Linked DNA regions of Callithrix jacchus. The protein of the gene in region 1 purifies or fractionates together with the protein of each later gene. This does not show direct contact. Links are inferred from orthologs where the notes say so. Each region holds a gene or a part of one and is shown in the gene's direction. Other genes may lie near its edges.

Region 1 (6,093 bases):
TTATCAACTATTTAGAATAGTGCCTCTTTGTTCCGTTATTATATTCCACTAATGGAGATGAGACTACACCAGTCCTATGATGTTATCAGAATCCTTAAAAAGGAAAATATAATTAATTTTGGTTATCGATTCTGGCATGAAATTGGCACCCTAAAAAGAAAGCCCAAAGTAAATTAATTTTAAATGTCTATTTCCTGGATTGACAGCACAGAATTTAATATATATATATATATATATATATATATATATATATATATATATGCTGGGCATGGTGGGTCACACCTGTAATCCCAGCACTTTGGGAGGCCAAAGCAGGCGGATGACCTGAGGTCAGGTGCTTGAGACCAGCCTGGCCAACATGGTAAAACCCGGTCTCCACTAAAAATACAAAAATTAGCCACGTGTGGTGGTGGGCGCCTGTTATCACTAAGCCAAGATCTTGCCACTGCACTCCAACCTGGTCGAAAGAGCGAAATAAAATATGTATATATGTGTGTATGTGTGTGTGTGTATATAGTGTATGTGTATGATCATGTGTGTGTATATTTACATTTTTGATATCTATATTTATATATAAAAAATATATATATACACATTTTAAATTTCATGCTGTCAATCAACCAAAATTATATTTTCATTTTTAAGGATTCTGATACCATCATCAGGACTGGTATAGTATGATCATACATATATGTATAATCGTGTGTATGTATGTGTATGTGTGTGTATTATATATATACACACACATATGTATCATACACACACACACACACACACATATGATCATACACATATATACAAATAACCGGTGGCTTTTTTTTTTGAGACAGGGTCTCACTCTGTCAACCAGCCTGGAGTGCTGTGGTATAAACACACACACACACACACACACAATGTATATGTGTGTATATATATTATATATGTGTATACATATATACACACGTATATGTATATACACATATATGTACACACATGTATATATACACACACATAAGTACATGTTTCTTATCAAAATGACACATTTTAAAATCAAGAGTACCATTAAAATACAGTCATGCACTGCATAATGACATTTTGGTCAATGACCAACTGCTCACACCATGGTGGTCTCATTGCAGTATAATGAAGACTATACAGAAACCTGTTATATGTCACTGGATACTGGCAATGCAGATCAAGTAGGTGAAATGACTGAATCTCAGTAATTGTACTGGGACATGTGGTTTTCCATATTAAAAAATATGTAAACAAATACACCACCTATGTTTGTGTTAAGGACACTCTATAATGTTTGCACTAGGACTAAGTCATCTAACAAAACGTATCTCAGAACATATCCCTGATGCTGACTGTATATACTTCTTACAAAGCAGCAAGTACTTATGTTCATTGTTTACTTACTTCTATTTATGACAATCTCTTTACTCGACCTTTTCTCAATTTGATATTGAACATTATAAAAGATATACAGAAGCCGAACCAGTATTTTGGTATGATCTCAGAACTTACAAATCCAACTAATATTTGTATCAAATGCAGATTTTGAAGGCATTTGGGAAGTTCAAACTCAATATAGTAAATTTTTAAACTGGACAAAAACCATTTAACAGAATACGTCCCCTTAAGTAAAGTCTATTCAAGCCTTTTCATCTCTAGGAGAGAAAGCGTGGTGTATTGGGAAATGGCTGAGATTTTCCTTACCCTGATTTCTACATTCCTTGATTTCAAGTTAAAGCGTATCTGAAGTCCCAAATGTTCCACAATAGGAGTAAATATCTTCATCCAGTTTTCTTTTAATGGTGTGTATCTGTTAGCTGGGACCGGAATTTTCCTTGTTTCTTCTTTCCCACTCTGTAATAAAAGAACACACAACTCAGGAAACTATGGAGGGATGGTGATGGAGTTGTAAAATGACATCTGATCCACAAAGGGCTTCCTTTAACTGAACTAGTTACACTTCAAAGAATCACTTCTTTCAGCAAAACAGCCCCCCGCAGCTTCAACATAGCCCAGAGGCCACCGGCTTGATTGGCCTCTGGCCATTGCCTCGTTGCTATCCCACGGTCCCAGCCACATACCAGGAGCCCGTCACCACAGAGGGGCGGGAAGACTGGCCTCTTCGCCGGCCTGGCCTCTTCTGTGTCCATAAGGCCCGCATCCCCGCCCTCTCCCGCTGCGGACAGCTGTTCAGCCTGCCGTTTTTTCGCCCGCCGGCCACCCTTGCGGGTGACCTGGGTAAAGCCGTCCTCTGCCCCGGCGCTCTGTGCTTCCATTTCGGATTCCAACCCTGGGATTCTTAAAGCACTTCCGGCTGAAACACGTGCGCTGCTCCACAGCGCAGGAGCCAGCCTCTGCCAACCACCCCCGCAGCTCCGCCCCTATCCTAAAACGCCACAGGCCGGGGACCTGCAGAATTTGGGGGCGGGGTGGAAAGGGCATGTAGGCTGTCCTAAGATATGCCTGATGCTCATCGTCTCACTCCAGTCACGCCACTCACAGCACAAGTATTTTGTAATCTCTAATATGTATGTGTGCTAAAGACAGTGGGTAAAGGCGATAAACAAATTCGTTTTGTTGTGAAGGAACATTCTATGCGATCGCAGGAGCGTATCTGGCATTATCCGGAGATAACCACAGCCAACTTTCTAGGGCATCTGGGGCAGAGTACGGAAAGCAGGAGGGTCAAATTGCCCATGTTTGGAGTCTGGTTTCCAGGTTGGTGTTTTGGGGGGCTCTGGGTGTGGCGGTTGCCGGAGCTGAAATCGGCTGGACCATGTCGGCCTTCGAGAAGCCTCAGATCATCGCCCATATCCAGAAGGGCTTCAACTACACGGTGTTTGACTGTAAGTGGGTGCCCTGCAGCGCCAAATTTGTGACCATGGGCAACTTCGCACGGGGCACCGGCGTCATTCAGCTGTACGAGATCCAGCACGGGGACCTGAAGCTGCTTCGGGAGGTGGGTGCCGGGTCAAGCATCTGGACTGCCGTTGGGAGCGCGTGCAGATCCTGGGATCTGCATTTCTCTTTGCCAGAGTCTTCGTGCAGCATCCCCCCAAAGCATAGCTTGAGCCGCGCAAGACCAGAGAAGCTGACCGCCGACTGAGGAATGTTTCCTACTTAAAATGTTTATGCTCATCCGCGGGCTAGTTCCTCCGTGTCCAACCCTCCTGTCACTCCCAGTGCAGTCCGGCCAAAGCGGGCACCAGTATGCCTGCAGTATAGTTGGAAGAGGCAACCTAACACATTCGACAGGTATCAGTTGAGTGCCTGGTATTCCCAGGCATGTCAGTGGCAATGTCCCCGATCTCATGGAGTTTATTTTCTAGTGGGAGAGATACTCAGTTCGGTAATCAAAGCAACGATACGTAAATACAAACTGAGATGACTTGTCTCACACAAAGTAACATGATAACGGCTCTCTGAGAGTGAAAACAGATTTGGGATGAGTAAAAACTGATTTTGGTATGTGCATAAACTAGGCCGAACGAGGAGTAAAGGACAAGGTTTCCAGAGCTTCTGCATATGCAGAAGCTCAGTGATGGGAGGAAGTTTATCTCCTTAAGAAACTAGAGGGGTAAGCAGGAAGCAGACATTACAAGAGCTGTAGGACATTGAAAGGATTTATGCCTTTTTTCTAAGAAAAATGGAAAACCATTGAAAGGATTTAAGCAGGGTGTGGCAAAATTAGGTTTACACGTTGATTACTAGCGAAAGAATTAAAGAATAATAATCACTAGCATTTTATAGCTGTTTATAGTTTTTAAAAACTCTTAATTTAGGTTACCTAAAAGAAGAAAAAAGATCAGTCATAATCAGATCAGGGTTGTAATAGACTACTAGCGCAGGGAAGGTTAAGAACTCTGGGGATCAAAATTTATGGAGAGAATCGGCTTGGAGGAGGTAGGGACTACACTGGTAGCTAAAGGATGAATACAGTTGTTTGGACTGGTAAGTCTGGAATAGAAAGTATGTAAGACCCCATCCCACTTGAAATTTCCCTGAATAACAAACATGAAACATGGCCTATTCCTTTTTACCTTTCCTTAGCGTCCAGTAACCTGTGGCTTTTTTTTTTTTTTTTTTTTTTGACAGGGTCTCACTCTGTCACCCAGCCTGGAGTGCTGTGGTGAAAACACAGCTCACTGTGACCTCCACCTCCCTGGCTCAAGGGATCCTCCCACCTCAGCCTCCAGAGTAGCTGGGATACAGGTGTGTGCCACCACACCTAGCTAATTTTTTTGTACTTTTTTTTTTTTGGTAGAGATGGGGTTTCACCATGTTGCCCAGGCTGGTGTCCACCTCCTGGGCTCAAGCAGTCTGCCCGCCTCGGCCTCTCAAAATGCTGGGATTACAAGAGTGAACCACCGCACCCGGCCACCTGTTGCTATTCTAATGTTCAGTTCAGATTATCTAATGTATGATGTCCTTCCTGATTTCTACACAAAGTAAAATTTCTTTATATCGCATTTGGGGTTCTTTTTGTTTTTTATTGTTGTTTTCTTTTTTTTAGAGATGGCGTAGTTCTGTCACTCAGTCTGGACTGCAGTCGTATTGTCATACCTCACTGTAGCCTAGAACTCCTGGGCTCAAACCATCCTACTGCCTCTGCCTCCCAAAGTGCAGGATAAGGTGTGAGCTACCATTAAAAAGAAAAGGCATTTAAAGGATTTTCATTTTTTATTTTTTTTGAGACGGAGTCTGGCTCTGTTGCCCGAGCTGGAGTGCAATGGCGCGACCTTGGCTCATTGCATCCTCCGCCTCCCAGGTTCAAACTAGTCTGCCTCAGTCACCCTAGTAACTGGGTTTACATGTGCTTGCCACCGTGCCCAGCTAATTTTTTTGTATTTTTAGTAGAGATGGGGTTTCACCATGTTGGTCGGGCTGGTCTCATACACCTGACCTCAGGTGATCCACCCGCTTCAGCCTCCCAGAGTGCTGGGATTACAGACTTGAGCCACTGCATCTGGCCATTTATTCCTTTTTCAAAGAAAATGGGACATGATTGAAATTTTTCTTTTCTTTTTTTTTGTTTTTGAGATAGGTTCTCACTCTTGCCTAGGATGGAGTACAGTGGCAGGATCAGGGCTCAGACTTGTGACTTTTTAAAATAAGAATAGGCCTGGTGCAGTGGCTACACCTGTAATCCCAACACTTTGGGAGGCAGAGGGGTGGATTGCTTGAGCCCAGGAGTTAAAGACCAGCCTGGGCTACAAGATGAAACCTCATCTTTACTTTTTGTATAAAATAATACAAAAATTAGCTGGGCATAGTGACATGTGCCTGTAGTCCCAGCTACTTAGGAGGCTGTGGTGGGAGGATGTCTTGAACCCAGAAGGTCAAGGCTGTAGTGAGCCATGATTGCACCACTGCACTTCAGCCTGGGTGACAGAGAAAGACCCTGCCTCAAAAAATAATAAAATAAGAATATATGATTTGTACGCATTTCAAAAGTACGCTTACTCCTTTAGGTGGAGTAGAGTGCTTTGTCTTTTGTAGAAACGCTAGGGAATTTCAGCAAATTTTAAAAAGATAATTTTCTTTTGTAGCAAAAGTAATATGTATTTGTGATAGAACATTTAGAAAATATGACAGGAAAATGAAGAAAATATCACTCATAATCTCAATGCCAGGAATAACCACTAAGTGTATTTTCACCTGGATCCTTTGGGTCTTCTTTTTTTTCTACCATGAATAATCTGAGAACACACTATTTCAAGGTACTGTGTTTAACAAGAACCAAAGATGTTTAAAAGTTGAGTCCTTTCTCTTAAAGAGCCAACCGTCCAAAAAGAGGATAAAACTAATGCAAGAATACCTTTAAGAACTTACGTTGTTTTTGGCTGCTCTGGTGAAATGGAAAATAATATAGGTTAAATACTGGTCCAGTAACTCCCACTCTTTACTGGGCATCAGGATCATATGAGTGCATTTTGTGCCGTGTGTGTGTGTGTGTGTGTGTGTGTGTGTTTTAAAACATTTGTGCCTTGGTCCTACCGCTAGAAATTCTGACACAGTGGTACATATTTGTTGCATCTAGAGTAAAGTTTAGAAATTAGAATTTTTTTAAAACTTTTCCAAGGTGATTCTAATGAG
Region 2 (5,847 bases), on another chromosome or scaffold:
GGGCAACAAGAGTGAAAGGTCTGTCTCAAAAAAAAAAATAATAATAGAATAAGAGATGTGGTCTTGCTATTTTTCTCAGGCTGGTCTCAAACTCTTGCCTCCAGTGGTACTGCCACCGCAGCCTCACCAAGTTCTGGGATTACAGGCATGAGGCACCACACCCAGTTGAATGAATTTTTTAAAGGACAACATATTCATAACATCTTTGTAACTTTTAATGAAAAGTATATACATAATAAAAGAATTGGAAGCAAAAGTGCCATGAGGCCAGGTGCGGTAGCTTATACCTGTAATCACAGCACTTTGGGAGGCCAAGGTGGAGGGTGTTGGGGTTGGGGGGGAGGGAATCACCTGAGTTCAGGAGTTCGAGACCAGCCTGGCCAACATGTTGAAATACTATCTCTACTAAAAATACAAAAATTAGCGGGATGTGATGGTGTGTACCTGTAATCCCAGCTAGCTACGCGGGAGACTGAGGCAGAAGAATCGCTTGAACCCTCAAGAAGGAGGTTGCAGTGAGCGGAGATCACACCACTGTACTCCAGCCTGGACAACAAGAGCAAGACTCTGTCTAAAAAAAAGAAAAGAAAAAAATTGCCACAATACTAAGTCATTAATTTAATGCCAGGTGGTGGCACTATGAGTGATTTTTCTTTTTTTTTCTTTTTTTTTTTGTATTTTTAGTAGAGACAGTTTTGCTGTTGACCAGGCTGGTCTCAAACCCTGGACCTCATGATCTGCCCGCCTCAGTTTCCCAAAGTGCTGAGCTTACAGGCATGAGCCACCACACCTGGCTGCATTTTTGTTTTTAATATCTGTGTATATGCACATAGATAGGTTTTTGTTTTATTTTTTGAGACAGAGTTTCGCTCTTGTCGCCCAGGCTGGAGGGCAATGGCGCGATCTCGGCTCACGGCAACCCCTGCCCCCCGGCTCGGCGGATTCTCCTGCCTCGGCCTCTGGAGTAGTTTGTATTACAGGCATGTGCCACCACGCCTGGCTAATTTTGTATTTTCAGTAGAGATGGTCTTTCTCCCTGTTGGCCAGGCTTAACTCCTGACCTCAGGTGATCCACCCGTGTTGGCCTCCCAAACTGTTGGGACTACAGGCTTGAGCCACCACGTCCAGCCATGGATAGGTATTTTTAAATACAGTCTTGTGGAAAAAAAAAGACCAGCCACTTGCAGATCTGTACGAATAATGTGACAATATTTTTGTTAAAATCCATACACAATAAAAACAAAGCTATATTCTATGATATCTCTATATATCCGTATAAATTCACAGCAAAAGATCTAGAAATATATATATAGTGTTTTAGTCCATTTTCTGTTGCTTATAACAGGATACCTGAAACTGGGTAATTTGTAAATAAAAGGAAGTTATTTCTTACAATTATGGAGGCTGATAAGTCCAAGGTCAACAGGATGTAGCTGGTGAGAGCCTGCTTGCTGGTGGGGTACCCCTGCAGAGTCACCAGGCAGTACAAGGCATCATATGGAAAGGGGGCTGAGCTGCTCACTTGCTAGCTCAGGTGTCTACTTATAAAGCCATTAGTCCCCCTCCCAAGATAACCCATTAATCCATTAACCCGTTAATACATGAATCCATGAATAGATTAATCCATTCATGAAGGCTCCACCCTCGTCATCTAATCGCCCCTTAAAGGGCCCACCATACAGTACTGCCACATTGGGGACTGAATTTCCAACACATGATTTGTACCTCATCTGCAAAGTTTAAATATTTTGCATTAATTCGCGTGTTGTGTAAGTAAAAATTTAAACATAATTTTTCAGAGATAACTGCCCAGACCAGCTCCCGGGTTTGGCCGTAGATCCTCTGATGCGTGTTTCTGATCGAATCAATTTCTTCTCCCGGAGACACCCAATCAGGGTCGTGTGGATTATTTGTGGGTTAACCAGGTCCCCGGTTAACCATCCAACTCAGAATATAATAGAGTTTCTAAAAATGCTTTTTGCTGTAAAACCTATTTGGAACAAACCTGGGTCTAAAGATTGGAGTAAGTACTTATTTTCGAATACATGACTTTTGAAAATAATTCTATAGGAATCAGAACACATGTTAAGTAAAAAAAAAAAAAACAAAAACCTCAGCGAAAATGCCTTTCAATTTCGAGAATAAATTCTAGAAAACGCATTAAGTAACTCTCTAGAAGAAATAATTCGCAGCTAGGTAGCGTGGCCGAGCGGTCTAAGGCGCTGGATTAAGGCTCCAGTCTCTTCGGGGGCGTGGGTTCGAATCCCACCGCTGCCAAGGTGGATTGTTTTTGTCTCCGCTGCACACACTGCCATCTCCGTTTTGAGCACGCCATCAGCGCCCCCTGCTGCAGGGCGGGGCATGGCCTCCATAAATGGCGCGGCGGAGGGGCGGAGCTCCGTGCCCCGGGGCGGGGCATTGTGGGTAAGAGGAAGCGCTGGGGCCGGCCTGCTCCCCCCACGTGTCCGCCAGAGTTTCTCCACCAGCAACATGGCCGCTGCCTGAGAGGAGAGCCGGGCCGCCGCCGCCTCTGCAGCCCGCGGGTTCCTGGGCTCTTGCCGCCGTCCGCGCGGCCCCCGCGGAGAGGTGAGTCCCGACTTGGCAGCGCCCTAGCTGGGGCTTGAGCCGGACAGCACTCAGTATGTGGGCCTGGGCTAGATTCCCGAGTAGGCCAAGGAGGCCCGCGCCGCGCTGTGCGTAGGGACTGGGGGCCTCTTGGGACGCGGGTGGGGAGGACGGACAGCCGGCTCTAGGTCGACCAGGCCAACCCCGGACACCGACCTCCCTGGCCCTACACTTGGGTGTTGGGGAGGCCGCGGCCGATGCTGCCGGCGGTGACTCAGGGTCCAGCCGATCTGCCCCACCCGGGCCGGAGCGGCCTCCTATGGAAGGAACACCTGTCTGGCGTCGGGTGTGGTAGCTGCTCGCGGCAGGAACTTCGTGGTGGGCGTGAGAAGGGGGCCTGACCACCCGTGAGGGAGCAGAAACCCATTGGACGGCGTGGCTCGGGGTCGGCGGCCAGCCGGGATGGGCAGGGACGGCACCTGCGCTTGCCGGAGCTCCCCTCTTTGCAGCTGAACCGGATCATCCTCTGCCCGGAGAGGCCCGAGATTCCTCATTCATTTATTCAGGCAACCATTCAGTGTTTACTGAACCAACTCTGTGCTTAGGATACGGCCCTGACCGGTCGGTCCGAGGAGGTGTCAGTAAACAAACAAGGTCATTCCTTTGGGTTACCTTTAGAATTCCTTGAGCTTGGGGACAGAAAGAAGAGATCGTATCGATCGCCACAGTTTGCTCATCTGTGAAATGGGAATAATAGAAATTCCTATCTCATGGGGTTGTGGTGACGGCTCAGTAGAAAGCAGGTGACGCTCTTGCTTGCAGCGCTTGACTTGTTGCTTAGTGTCATTACCCTCTTATATTGGAAGAAAACATGTTGTCAAGTAGTAACAAACCTTCCCATAGGTTGGGTCCTTACTCCCCTGTTCCTCCCTTCCCCAGCCGTCTGGAGGTCGGTATTTAGTTTCCCTACTTCAGGGATGAAAATAGGGAGGGATACCAAGCGTAGACAACTCAGGTGGGCCACAGATATGAAGCAGCAGTGGTGGGATTTGAACCTGCACAGTTTTGGTCTCGAGTCCAGGCTCTTACCCACTTAACCATACTGCCTTTTATTGAAGAGCTGTGCAGTGTAATGGTTAATAAGAATAAGGATCTTTGACATCAGCGAGACCCGAGTTACTGTCTTGATTCCACCTTGGAAAACGTACTCATCTCTGAACCTGTCTCCTCATTTCTAAATTGATGATAAATCTCTGTTGATAGTGCCAATGAGAAGATTAAATATAAAGTATTCTTTGTACTATATTGAGTGTCAACTTTGTGCCAGGCAGTGTTCTAGATATTGAGAGAACAGCAGTGGATTTTTTAAGTAATGATCTCCATAACAGCTTTGATGAAATAAAGTATAATTATCTCTGCATTTAGTAGAGGAAACTGACGCGCTGAGAAGCCTTCATGGAGCTTACATTCTGTTGCAGAAGACAGACAACACCTGAGCAAATAGACCAGGTAGTTTCAGATTAAGATGAGAACCACTGAGGAAAGCAAACAGAGATGTGGTGTAGTGCCTAGGAGGAGGTTGGAGAAGGCTCTTAAAATAGAGGAGTCAGGGAGCCTATCCTCAGCTGCAGACGGTGATGATGCTATTTAATAAAAAGGAGCAACCTTGGAAAGCCCTGTGGGGAATAGATGATGTGCAGAGGACCTTGGGGTGAACTGGGACTTGGCTTCTTGGAAGCCCTGCAACTGGCTACCAGGCCAAAAAGATGGTGAGGGGAAGATCGAGACAAAATCATGCAGGGCCTTAGAGTGGCTTATGGAAAGGAGTTTGGGTTTTATTTATATGACAATGATGGTTGACAGGTTTTAAGCAGGGAAATAATACGAGATATATATAAATTGTTTTTTTTTTTTTTTTTTGAGACAGAGTCTCGCTCTGTCGCCAAGCACCAGGCTAGAGTGCAGTGGCATGATATCAGCTCCCTCCACCTCCCAGGTTCAAGTAATTCTTCTGCTCAGCCTCATATATATATATATATATATATATATATATATATATATATTTTTTTTTTTTTTTAAAGACAAAGTCTTGCTCTCTCTTGCCCAGGCTGGAGTGCAGTGGCAAGATCTTGGCTCATTGCAGCCTCCGCCTCCTGGTTCAAGCAATTCTCCTGCCTCAACCTCCCGAGTAGCTGGGATTACTGGTGTGAGCCACCACACCTGGCTAATTTCTGTATTTTTAGTAGACACAGGGTTTCACCTTACTGGTCAGGCTGGTCTTGAACTCCTGACCTCAGGAGATCTGCCTGCCTTGGACTCCCAAAGTGCTGAGATTACAGTCAGCCACCGCACCTGGCTCTTTTTTTTTTTTTTTTTTTTTCACCCAATAGAGGGAAGGTCTTGTGATCATAGCTTACTGCAGCCTCAAACTCCTGGGTTCAAGCAAGCCTGCTGCCTCAGCCCAAGAAGTTGGGACTATAGGCCATGCTGGGCTATTTTGTCTGTGTGTGTGTGTGTGTGTGTGTAATAGAGATCAGGGTCTCACTATGTTGCTCAGGCTGGTCTTGAACTGCTGGTCTCAAGTGGTCCTTCCACCTAAGCCTTCTAAAGTGTTGGGATTACCAGTATGAGCCACCACGCCAGCCTGATTAACTTCTTTACGAGGACTCTGGCTGTTGCCGGGAGACGGAAGTAGGAATAAGGAGCCGTAGGGAGCCTCGGATGAGTGCTTTTCACATTGCAGATTGAGATTTATTAGTGGGAAATAAAATCAATTTAGGGGAATTGAAGCTAGCATTTTTTTTGTTTTGAATGAAGTAGAAAACATCACTGTCTGACATATAGTAGGGACAGTTATGGTTATGTGAAAACTTGTTTCAGTTATGCAATTGTATGTACTGGACCATTTATATGAGATGAATTTCTTTTTCTTTCTTTTTTTTTGAGACACAGTCTTGCTCTGTCACCCATGCTGGAGTGGAGTGGCAGGATCTCAGCTTACTGCAATCTCTGCCTCCCAGGTTCAAGCGATTCTCCTGCCTCATGTTCCTGAGTAGCTGGGATTACCACGCCCAGCTAATTTTTTATTTTTAGTAGAGATGGGGTTTCACCATGTTGATCAGGCTTGTCTCGAACTCCTGACCTCGAGATCCACCCACCTCAGCCTCCCAAAGTTCTGGGATTACAGGCTTGAGCCACTGCGCCTGGCTAAGATGAATTTCTTACTGTGGTGGGTCTTAGGCTGAAAACTTTGAAAGCCACTGAGTTGGATCACCTCAGCCT
Region 3 (5,870 bases), on another chromosome or scaffold:
ACAATAAAAACAACCTTTTTCAATATTGTGCAGGCATCTTAGTTTTTCATTGTGAATCTTCTTATTCCAGAATGTGATTTGGGATTTGCCTAGTAAAGTACATTTCCTGAAAGAAGACCAACTTTTCCTACAAAGAACAGAAAACTCTTAGGAGATTTAAAATAACAATTTGTCCAGCCCGAATCCCCCTTTTCACGTTGGACCTGAGGAATACCGTAAACCAGGGTCGGCAAACTTTTTCTGTAAAAAAATCAAATAATAAATGTTTCAGGCTTTGTGGGCCCATACAACTTGTCATGACTACTCAACTCTGCCATTGTGTAACTCTGCTATTGTACTGTGATGGTAAATATGAATGGGTATGCACATGAATTCCAACGAAGCTTTATGGACCCTGAAATATTAATTTCACAGAATCTTCATGTGTCAGGAAATTGTTTATTTCTCTCAACCACTTAAAAATGTAAAAACTGTTCTTAGGCCTGGCACGGTGGCCCACGCCTGCAATCCCAGCACTTTGGGAGGCCGAGGTGGGTGGATCACGAGGTCAGGAGTTCAAGAGCAGCCTGGCCAAGATGTTGAAACCCCGTCTCTACTAAAAATACAAAAATGAGCTGGGCGCAGTGGCACGTGCCTGTAATCCCAGCTACTCAGGAAGCTGAGGCAAGAGAATTGCTTGAACGTGGGAGGCGGAGGTTGCAGTGAGCCGAGATCACATCATTGCACTCTAGCTTGGGTGACAGAGTGAGACTCTGTCTCAAAAAACAAAAACAAAAACAAAAAAACTGTTCTTAGCTCTCACGCCATAGAAAAACAGTTGGCAGGCTGGGTTTGACTCCTCATAGCTTGCCAACCCCTGGTGGAAATCAATCCTCTAGAGGATATCTGAAGGGTAGAAACAACTAAAAATGGAAAATTCCTGATAATGTTAGCACTGTCAAAAATTCAGGAGACCCCAGCTACTCAGGAGACCGAGGCAGGAAGACTGCTGGAGCCCAGGAATTCCAGGCCAGCCTGGGCAACATGGCAGACCCCATCGCTTAAAAAAACAAAACAAAACAAAACAAAACAGGAAAAGAAAAATCCAGGAGCTTGTTAAGTGATCAGTTAGTCAAAGGGTGAAAAGCGGGTATCACCAGATGACAGAAAACAAATTTTTCTAGAGAACTAATTTTGCTTTAGACATCCGTCAACTTAGAGAAAGTAGAAAACTGTCTCTAATAAACTGAAATATTTGGGACTGATCTCGATCTCTGCCAAAACACTCACATGGTTTGGCAGAGATCGAGATCAGTCCCAAATATTTCAGTTTATTATAAACAAAGACTAATAAGTCGTCTCTACTATTAGAGGAAAAAAAAAAAAACAGACTGAAATGCAAAAATTCCTGAAAATGAGTAAATAAGGCAAAGATAAAATACTACAAATGTCTCTTGTCAGTTCACAAGACCTTATCCTGGGCAGTCAACGTCCAATTAGAAATAACGTTTGAAAATTTAATAAGAGAAAATGAAGTCTCCTTCTGTAATACACAGTAAATAATGTTTAAAATTAAAATAGCAATAATATTATCTGGTAATATGATGGTAAATAGCCCCTCCCAAAAACTGAAAAAGTTGAAAGCAATGGTATATAACATTTCAAACTGTGTACATATGTGACTTTAATACAAATGTTTCAAGATTAAATTTAAGAAAATAAAAATTAAAAGTGTGAGCAAGAACTCCATTGCTATGACAATCCGCGCAGCGGCCACCTCTTTGTTCTTAGGTTGTTCTTCTCTCAACCCGCCCCTTCCTCCTCCTCCTCGAGCGGTGGCCACGCCCCCTCTAGTGCGAAAGGCTGCGTTTCCGGCTCGTGGGTCTCGAATCAAAATGAGACACCGGCGGGCGGAAACGGCTGGTCGGCGGGGCGCGCAGGCTGAGGCTCCGCCCTCGACAGCAGGGCGTGTGACGTCACTTCCGGCTTCTGCCTGTCTGTCGGCCCCCGAGCACGAGTTGTGAAGGGATCTACTTGTGTGCAGAATCCCTCGGAACCATGGTGAGCCTGGCCCTCAGCCTCTTGCCCTGCTCCTGCCCCGCCGTGCCTTTGCCACCCCATTGCTCCCTCTGTCCTGCTAGCGTCATAGGCTCCATTCCTGTCTCCCGGGCCCGCCGCGCATGGTACGGGCCTTGGGGCCTGCGGCCTGTGCCAGGCCAGCCGCTGGAGCCCACTACGAGGGGGAGGGGTGGCCACAAGACCAGCGTCTCCTTCTGCCCAGACCGGGTTTCCATAGTCCCGGGAACCCAGGCCCACGCCTCACCCCAAGCGAAGAAATTTCTAGTGCGGGTCCTGCTCCGCCCTCCTCCTAGGGGCGGAGCCACCCGAAGGTGGAAGATGGAGGCCGCCGCGTTCACTCGCCCGCCGGGCGGCTGTACCCTTGATGATCTGCGACCCCTCCGTGCCTCATTCTTTGTTCCAGATCGTCTTTAGTCTCGGTATACGTAACTGTCAATGTCGCTGGTGTATAGTTAATACTCCTGGGGCCATTGTAAATCTGAAAAGCCTTTTGTCGCTTTCCTTCAAGTCCTTTCCTGCACTTAAATGCCTTCTCCGATGATGGAAGCTTTATTTGTTTGAAAACATTATTCTAAATGAATTTTCGGGTAGATTCCATTTGTAAGACTAGTGGAAGGCACCTCAGTATAGAGTATTGGTTCTTAAACAGAATGCCTCTTGGTTTTCCTTTTTAGGCGTCCCTTTCCCTTACACCTGTTAACATCTTCAAGGCAGGAGCTGATGAAGAGAGAGCAGAGACAGCTCGTCTGGTAAGCCTTGTTCTAACTATTGTTTTAAAGATAAAACTGGAGGCCAGGCGCAGTGGCTCACTGCTGTAATCCCTGTACTTTGGGAGGCCGAGGTGGGCAGATGAACTGAGGTTAGGAGTTCGAGACCAGCCTGGCCAATATGGCAAAACCCTGTTTCTTTTAAAAATATAAAATTAGCCGGGCGCGGTGGCTCACGCCTGTAATTCCAACACTTTGGGAGGCCAAGGTGGGCGGATCAGGAGGTCAGGAGTTCGAGACCAGCCCACGGTGAAACCCCGTCCCTACTAAAAATACAAAAATTAACTGGGCGTGGTGGAGTGCGCCTGTAATCCCAGCTACTCAGGAGGCTGAGTCAGGAGAATCACTTGAACCGGAAGGTAGAGGTTGCAGTGAGCAAAGATCGCACCACTGCACTCCAGCCTGGGTGACGGAGTGAGAGACAGTCTTTAAAAAAAAAAATACGAAAATTAGTCGGCGTGGTGGTGGGCATCTGTAATCCCAGCTACTCGGGAGGCTGAGGCAGGAGAATCTCTTAGACCCAGGAGGCTCAGGTTGCAGTGAGCTGGGATCTTGCCATTGCACTCCAACCTGGGTGACAGAGCAAGACTCTGCCTCAAAAATAAAGTAAATAAAGATGAAACTATTTTTCTCTTAAGACTGTAAAGGTGATTCTGATAATCTCCTTGGTTTTTACTCTAGTCTTCTTTTATTGGTGCCATCGCTATTGGAGACTTGGTAAAGAGCACCTTGGGACCCAAAGGCATGGTAAGAAAAATAGAAAACTTTTATGTTTTAATATTGTTTTAGAGCCTTTAGTGGAAATATATTAATAACAAACATTTTTATATGCTTTTTAATCTTTAAAATATTTAATTATAACAGTAAGACAAATGTATTATCCTTAGTAAAAATCAAACTAGCGAGTATCACCATCCCCAATCCATGCCCCTCCCCAATGACAAGTACTGTTATTTGCATCTACAACTTCTAATACTCTGTTTGCTTTTATAGAAGTATGTGTACTTTATTATGTATTTTCTTAGATATTCTCATGTAACAGATACTGTTTTATAAAACAGAGGTACTATTTACAAATACTTTTTTGTAGCTTGCTCTTTTAAATTGTTTTCAGGGTAAGTAAATAATACAGTCTCCTCTTTAACAAATAGTATTTTGCACCTTAATTATTTTATAATTCAATTATGGCTGTATTGATAGTTTTTTTTCATGGTTTTTGCAGTTACAGTGCTGAAACAAACGCTAGTGTCTCCCTGTGCTTCTAGTGTTTCTAGGGGTAGATACCACGGTTTTGTTACATGGTGTATGTATTGAAAACATTTGATGGATGGATACCACAAAATGGCCATCCAGAGTGTTTATACGCTAGCATTGTATGAGAATACCGATTGATGCATGCATTCTTCAAGATGTAATTATATCTTAACTTGAACCAATTATGTATCCTTTAGGACAAAATTCTTCTAAGCAGTGGACGAGATGCCTCTCTTATGGTAACCAATGATGGTGCCACTATTCTAAAAAACATTGGTGTTGACAATCCAGCAGCTAAAGTTTTAGTTGGTAAGTCTGAATATACTTTTTCACCAACCTAATAATATTGTTTGTTAATATTTTGAAATAACTTTTCAAATAAGCTGTGTTGACCAGCTGTACTGTCAATCAATTGATGTCCATTACTTTTTAATTATCATCATTAAAATACAAGCTGCAGGAGTGCCATAGTGGTAAAAGTGTTGCATTTTAGACCTCAGAGTTCTAAAGAATTTGTTGGATGAGGAAGCTTGATAAATATGTTTAGATTGGAAGTGAATATTTTGAAGAATTTAGTGCTAAGAAGCAATTTTGAGTTAATAACTAATTTCTTTTTCTAGACATGTCAAGGGTTCAAGATGATGAAGTTGGTGATGGCACTACCTCTGTTACCGTTTTAGCAGCAGAATTATTAAGGGTAAGAACAACTGAGCAACTCTGTTTTCCTACTGTGTTTTTGAATATCAGATAATCAAGTCCTTATTTCATCTTTACTATTGAGTGCTTAATACTTTTTCATTTATAACTTTTATAACTTTATTAATAGGAAGCAGAATCTTTAATTGCAAAAAAGATTCATCCACAGACCATCATAGCGGGTTGGAGAGAAGCCACAAAGGCAGCAAGAGAGGCTCTGTTGAGTTCTGCAGTCGATCATGGGTTGGTATACCAGAGTATTACTGTTTTAAATATTTAGTGTTCTTTCATAACATGCTCAGTGCAAGAAATCTAGAGGATACTGAAAAGCATACACAAAGATCATCTTGCTACGTCACCCCACTCCACAGTCAAACCTAGGTCAGCCTCCAGAGATGACCACTAAAGTTTGGGTTTTTAGTCTTTTTGTATCTCTAATCAAAATATGCAAATAAAGCCAACAGTATAATACTGTGTAGAGGATTTATTAGCTTCTTTTTAACCTAATTAAATACTAAGCACATTTTTGGATGTCAGTTTTCTATGCAGTATTTTAATAGTGTTACCCATTTGAGTATGTGGCTAGAATGACTATATTTACTTAACCCATTTCTAGGGGGAGATTTGTGTATTCAGCGATTTTTAGCTTTATAATAACAATGTTATAAAGAACATAGCCCACAAGTTTCTAAAGTGTAATTGTTGGGTCCAGAGGTAGTTGTGTGTGTTTTAAGACAAGGTTCCCTACCCCCAAACCTGGGCTGCATGGCAGGTGAAAAAATTGTCTTCCATAAAACCAGTCTCTGGTGCCAAAAAGACCGGGGACCACTGTTTTAAGGCACTTTCACATAGGTTATAAAATAAGCCTCTGGAAAAAAATTATTGATTTACCCGTCCACAGCTATATAATAGTGTTTGTTTTCCACATTCTTTTATTTATTTATTTTTTTTGAGACGAGTCTTGCTCTTAGAGTTGCCCAGGATAGAGTGCAGTGGCATGATCTCAGCTCACCGCAACCTCTGCCTCCTAGGTTCAAGCGATTCTCTTGCCTCAGCCACTCAAGTAGCTGGGACTTTAGGCATGCGCCCAGCTGA
Region 4 (5,897 bases), on another chromosome or scaffold:
CCCAGGCAGCTATCTGCAGCACAGGGGCTGGTGTTCGCCACAGAGCAGGCACCCTGGGAAGCCCTGAGGGGCCCCAGCTCATCCAGTGCCTGCTTCTCTCAACCTCTTTGGAAATCTGAACAGATTGGCAGCAACCGCCTCCACACAAAGCCTTGTCAAAGTATAACTTCAAATACATACAAAGAAAAATAGTAATGATTCATATATAGAATGAACACCCATCAAAGATCAATTACACATCAGTTCAGAAGTGTTCGGGAACTCTGAATCATGTATGATTCTGAGAATCTGGGTACATGTATTTCATGTATTTGTAAGTTTTTTTTTGTTTTTTTGTTTTTTGAGACAGGGTCTCATTCTGCCACCCAGACTGGAGTGCAGTGGTGCAATCATAGCTCACTGCAGCCTCGACGTCCTGGGCTCAAGAGATCCTATTGCTTCAGCCTTCTAAGTAAACAGAACTACAGGCACATACTACTATGCGCAGCTGATTTTTAAAATTTGTAGTAGAGACAAGATCTCGCTCTATTGCCCAGGCTAGTGTCAAACTCCTGGGCTCAAGCAATCCTCCCTCCTCAGCCTCCCAAAGAGCTAGGACTGCAGATATGAGCCACTGTGCCTGGCCAGTAAGCATTTTAAGAGAAGCAACCCAGACAAAGATTGTGATGTTAGATACGAACCAGTTAATGAAGTTTTCTTTTCTATGGGATAGAAACTGCAAGTTAATAAGTAACTTCAGTGTCTGGGCTGTAATCAAACAAGCAGGAAAGTCAACACAGCCACAATCCCTGAGATTAGGATCAGCAAACGTTTTCTGTAAAGGACCAGGCATGCAGCTCTGAGTCACAACCACTCTGCCACGTAGCACAAAAGCAACTACAGCCAACGTGTAACAAATCAGCATGGCGTGTGTGGCTGGGGTGGAGCTCATGCCTATAATCCCAGCACTTTGGGAGGCCAAGGTGAGAAGATCACTTGAGGCCAGGGGTTTGAGACCAGCTTGGGCAACAAAGTTGGACCCCCCCCCCCCCATCTCTACAAAAAGTAAAAAAAAAATAAATAAATAACTGGGTGCTGTGGTGTCTGCCTGTGGTCTTAGCTATTGGGGAGGCTGAGGCAGGAGGACTTGACCTCGTGGGAGGCCTGCCTCAGCCTCCCACCGTGGTGGGATTGAGCCCAGGAGCTTGAGGCTGTAGTGAGCTATGATGTCGACACTGCACTGCAGCCTGGGCGACAGAGCTGGTGTCACACCACTGCACTCCAGCCTGGGTGACAGAGCTGGTATCACACCACTGCACTCCAGCCTGGGCGACAGAGCTGGTATCACACCACTGCACTCCAGCCTGGGCGACAGAGCTGATATCACACCACTGCACTCCAGCCTGGGCGACAGAGCTGATATCACACCACTGCACTCCAGCCTGAAGACAGAGCTGATATCACACCACTGCACTCCAGCCTGGGCGACAGAGCTGGTATCACACCACTGCACTCCAGCCTGGGCGACAGAGCTGATATCACACCACTGCACTCCAGCCTGGGCGACAGAGTAAGACTCCGTCTCAAGGAGGGCCTTTATGCTAAACTGTAGTCTGCAAAACAGCCAAACCAAAAGGTAAGATAGACTTATCCACCAAGTGCAGTGGCTCAATCTTAGCCCTTTGGGAGGCTGAGATGAGAGAATTGCTGGAAGCCAGGAGTTCAAGACCAGCCTGGGCAACACAGCAAGACCCCAACTCTTAAAAGAAAACTAGCTAGGTGTGATGGCACGTGCCTGCAAGTCCTAGCTACTTGAAAGGCTGAAGTGGATCTCCGGAGCCCGGGAGTTGGAGGCTGCATTGAGCTATGATGGCACCACTGCACTCCAGCCTGGGCGACAGAGTGAGCCACTGTCTCTAAATGATAATAATATATAAAAAGATTTACATAACCCTCCGAGCTCCCTCTCACTGCTGTATACACCCGCCTCCTTCCCCATCCGTCACCCAACTGTCCCTCCCTTCTAACAAGCCAGTGGCATCCCAGCCAGGGGTCTCACAGCAGTCGGTGTAGGCAGCCTCGGCAGGGGGCTTAGCACAGATCTGCCTCTGGCCACGAGACCTTCCTCAGCTCCCCTCACGGCTGCCAGCCGCAGCTGCCCATTCCCCTTAGCTCTATTCTCTCTATTCAGGGGCCTCCTGCTGTGCACTCCAAGGGGGTGCACGGTTGCAAAGCGAGATCAAGGGTCGTGGGGAGCAGAGAGGCACAGCTTGGGGTTTCCACTCAGTCAGGATTAGGAGATCTCTGGAGGGGCAGAGCAGCCCTCCCGGCGCTCTGAGCATGCGCCAAAAAGCGCCCACGTTGAAAGCCACGAGGGGGTGAGGGGGTGGGAGTTGGGGGGGTGGGGCTTCCATACTGACGCAGGCGCAGAGGTACTGGCCTCGCTCGGGCTTTTCTCGCTCCTGCGCAAGATCCTCCAGCCCAATAGGGGGCGATGAGCTGGTCCCTACGCTAGTTTGACCCGCCAGAGTAATCCGGAAGAAGCCTCTTACTAGGGCTTCGGAGGCGGCGGCAGCGGACGCTTAGGGTCTGGACGCGGCAGTGGTGGCGGCGGCGGCGGCGGCGGCGGCGGCGGCGGCAGGAGTATGAACGCCCCTCCAGCCTTCGAGTCGTTCTTGCTCTTCGAAGGCGAGAAGAAGTAAGTGACGCCAGCTGGGAGGAGCCGAGGTTTGCGGGGCTGCGACTGTCGCATTCCGGGGGCGTTTCCTGCCCATGTCTTGCTCCGGGAGGGAAGCAGCTTTTGCCTGATAGTCCGCACGGCCTGTGTCGGCCAAATTTAAGCCAGTTCCGGGAGGCAGTGGCGAGTGTGTCCATTTGGCAGATGAGGACACTGAGGCTCGGAGGAGCAAGTTGCCCCAGACACGGAGGAGGTGGCGGGGCTTGTATTCGAACCCAGAGTGTCTGGCTCTCCATAGCCCTCTTCCTCTGGGACGTGGCAGCCTCCTCTCTTGTCTTCCGCCCGCCGCCTCCATCCCCCGTGTCCTTTGATTTGCCAACGGCCTGTGTAAAAGCCGCAGTGGCTTCTTGCTGCCTGCTGGTTGAAGGAGTCCCCGGGAGAGACAGCTTGGGCTTGGCCCCTGGGTCCCCCACTTAGCGACTGTATCTGTACGAGTGCCGTGATCTTTTGGAGGCCCTGTTTCCTTTTCTGGAAAATGGATTTGTTACTTTTCATTTTTTTCGAAACGGAGTTTTGCTCCTGTTGCCCAGGCTGGAGTGCAATGGCGCGATTTCGGCTCACTGCAACCTCCACCTCCCAGGTGCAAGCAATTCTCCTGCCTCAGCTTCCTGAGTAGCTGGAATTACAAGCATGCGCCACCACGCCCGGCTAATTTCTTATTTTTGGTAGAGACGCGGTTTCTCTATATTAGCCTGTGTGGTCTCGAACTCCCAATCTCAGCTGATGCTCCTGCCTCGGCCTCCCAGAGTGCAGGCATTACAGGCGTGAGTGACGGCCTCCGGTCTATTACTGTTCTTAAACATGGGATTTGGCCAGGTGCGCTGGCTCACGCGTTTAATCCCATCACTTTGGGAGGCTGGCTTGAGCACAGGAGTTGCAGGCTCCAGTGAGCTGTGATCGCATCACTGCACTCCAGCCTGGGCGACAGAGTGAGATCTTGTCTCAAAAAGAATTGGATGAGGTAATTTGTGTCAAGCACTTGGTCTAAAGCTCGGCACCTGGAAGACCTCATAACCACTGGCTCTTACTGTTCCCAGGTTGGCGTGCAGAGGTCTTGGTCTGGCCCTTGCCGGCCAGTTTGGCCTTTTTTTTTTTTTTTGGACAGTCTCACTCTGTCCACCCAGGCTGGAGTGCAATGGTGTGATCTCACGGCAACCTCCACCTCCATGTCCCAGGTTCAAGTGATTTTCCTGCCTCAGCCTCCTGAATAGCTGGGATTACAGGCATGCACCATCACATCCGGCTAATTGTGTGTTTTTAGTAGAGACCGGGTTTCTCCATGTTGGTCAGGCTGGTCTCAAACTCCCAACCTCAGGTGATCTGCCCGTCTCTGCCTCCCAAAGTGCTGGGATTACAGGTGTGAGCCAGTGCACCGGGCTTGGCCTCATTTTAGAGCAGACTCTCAGCTGGGGACCATTTGGCAATAATTGGGGACATTTATGGTGTCAAAGGGGGTTATGACTGGAATCTACTGGATAGAGGTCAGGGTGCTGCTGCTGTCCAGCAAGATAGCACCCCACAGGAAAGAATCATGCAGCCTAAAACGTCTGTGGTGTCAACATGGAGAAACTACCTTAGAAAAAAGGGGCAGTCAGGCACAGTGGCTCACGCCTGTAATCCCAGCACTTTGGGAGGCTCAGGCAGTTGGATCACGAGGTCAGGCGTTCAAGACCAGCCTGGCCAACATGGTGAAATCCCGTCTCTGCTAAAAATGCAAAAAAAAAAAAAAAAAAGCCGAGCATGGTGGCACACGCCTGTAACCCCAGCTGCTCAGGAGGCTGAGGCAGAATTACTTGAACTGGGGAGGCAGAGGTTGAAGTGAGTCGAGATTGTGCCACTACACTCCAGCCTGGGCAACAGAGCAAGACTCCATCTCAAAAGAAAAAAAGGAGCAGGCTAGGCATGGTGGCATGCGCCTGTGGTCCCAGCTACTCAGGAGGCTAAGGCTGGAGGCTACAGTGAGCTGTGATCACACCACTGCACTCCAGCCTGGGCAGCAGGAGGGATCACTTGAGGCAAGTTCAAGACCAACCAGGACGACAAAGCAAAACCTCATCTCTTCTAAAAGAGAGGGAGAGGAAAGACAAGAGGAGGAACTCCGAGAAGGGCCAAGGTTCCACAGACCTGGGGTAGGGAATCAGGCTGGAGAGGTCTTTATGGGAGGAAGAGATTGAGAAAGGTCTTCAGGAGGAGGCAGAGCTTTTCATTTTTATTTTTTTGAGACAGTCTTGCTCTGTTGCCTAGGCTGGAGTGCAGTGGCGCAATCTTGGCTCACTTCAACCTCCTCCCAGGTTCAAGTGATTCTCCTGCCTCAGCCTCCCAAGTAGCTGAGAACACAAGCATGGACCACCACACCCAGTTTGGGTTTTATTTTTAGTAGACAAAGTTTCACCATGTTGGCCAGGCTGGTCTGGAACTCCTGACTTCAGGTCATCCATCTACCTCAGCCTCCCAAAGGGTGGGGATTACAGACATGAACCACTGCACCTGGTCCGAAGGAGGCAGGGTTTAGACTTGGGGTGGGCGGAGGGGAGCCCCTGTCCCTCATCTGTGGCCTCTGTGTCTTCCTAGGATCACCATTAACAAGGACACCAAGGTACCCAATGCCTGTTTGTTCACCATCAACAAAGAAGACCACACACTGGGAAACATCATTAAATCGTAAGTTTCCCGTCAAAGGCTCTCAGGGGCTATGTTTAATAGGCGCCTCTGGGCAAAACAGAAGTTTTAAGATTTTCCTCCATCTCTCAGCTACAGGAAGTCCTTCTGGGGGCTTGCTCTGGGCATTTGGTAATGTTGGTACTTTATCAAAATGACGCTGACCTTCATGTCTTCACATAAGCTACGCTTCTGTAGTGGCTTATTCTGTAGACAAACGTGCATTTACTTTTTTTTTTTTTTGGGAGTTTTTGCTCGTTGCCCAGGCTAGAGTGCAGTGGCGCAATTTTGGCTCACTGCAACTTCTGCCTCCCAGATTCAAGCGATTCTCCTGCTGGGACTGGCCACCATGACCTGCTAATTTTTGTGTTCTCAGTAGAGGCGGGGTTTCACTATGTTGGCTAGACTGGTCTTGAACTCCTGACCTCAGGTGATTCACCTGCCTTGGCTTCTCAAAGTACTGGGATTACAGGCATGAGCCACGCACCCAGCCTTCCATTCACTGTTAAGTGCACGTTCTGTG

The links.
Region 2: the proteins of DNAAF10 (region 1) and POLR3E purify together in Homo sapiens (affinity purification with mass spectrometry; 3 studies listed by BioGRID and IntAct, with this or other methods). This does not show direct contact. The link is inferred for Callithrix jacchus from reciprocal best matches to the Homo sapiens genes DNAAF10 and POLR3E.
Region 3: the proteins of DNAAF10 (region 1) and CCT2 purify together in Homo sapiens (affinity purification with mass spectrometry; 3 studies listed by BioGRID and IntAct, with this or other methods). This does not show direct contact. The link is inferred for Callithrix jacchus from reciprocal best matches to the Homo sapiens genes DNAAF10 and CCT2.
Region 4: the proteins of DNAAF10 (region 1) and POLR2J purify together in Homo sapiens (affinity purification with mass spectrometry; 3 studies listed by BioGRID and IntAct, with this or other methods). This does not show direct contact. The link is inferred for Callithrix jacchus from reciprocal best matches to the Homo sapiens genes DNAAF10 and POLR2J.

Annotation. Positions count from the first base shown.
Region 1 is NC_133515.1:45,712,652-45,718,744, forward strand, and holds the start of DNAAF10 (dynein axonemal assembly factor 10), read left to right. Parts: upstream 1-2,773; coding exon 2,774-2,956; intron 2,957-6,093. Other genes in the region: RNA-binding protein PNO1, read right to left, coding at 1,702-1,851, 2,079-2,273. UniProt on the Homo sapiens protein: Key assembly factor specifically required for the stability of axonemal dynein heavy chains in cytoplasm.
Region 2 is NC_133513.1:22,887,326-22,893,172, forward strand, and holds the start of POLR3E (DNA-directed RNA polymerase III subunit RPC5), read left to right. Parts: upstream 1-2,470; 5' UTR 2,471-2,586; intron 2,587-5,847. UniProt on the Homo sapiens protein: DNA-dependent RNA polymerase catalyzes the transcription of DNA into RNA using the four ribonucleoside triphosphates as substrates.
Region 3 is NC_133510.1:72,133,969-72,139,838, forward strand, and holds the start of CCT2 (T-complex protein 1 subunit beta), read left to right. Parts: upstream 1-1,957; 5' UTR 1,958-2,037; coding exon 2,038-2,040; intron 2,041-2,349; exon of another isoform or gene 2,350-2,477; intron 2,478-2,732; coding exon 2,733-2,807; intron 2,808-3,506; coding exon 3,507-3,572; intron 3,573-4,276; coding exon 4,277-4,388; intron 4,389-4,699; coding exon 4,700-4,776; intron 4,777-4,905; coding exon 4,906-5,018; intron 5,019-5,870. UniProt on the Homo sapiens protein: Component of the chaperonin-containing T-complex (TRiC), a molecular chaperone complex that assists the folding of actin, tubulin and other proteins upon ATP hydrolysis.
Region 4 is NC_133503.1:11,371,105-11,377,001, forward strand, and holds the start of POLR2J (DNA-directed RNA polymerase II subunit RPB11-a), read left to right. Parts: upstream 1-2,552; 5' UTR 2,553-2,624; coding exon 2,625-2,677; intron 2,678-5,287; coding exon 5,288-5,377; intron 5,378-5,897. UniProt on the Homo sapiens protein: Core component of RNA polymerase II (Pol II), a DNA-dependent RNA polymerase which synthesizes mRNA precursors and many functional non-coding RNAs using the four ribonucleoside triphosphates as substrates.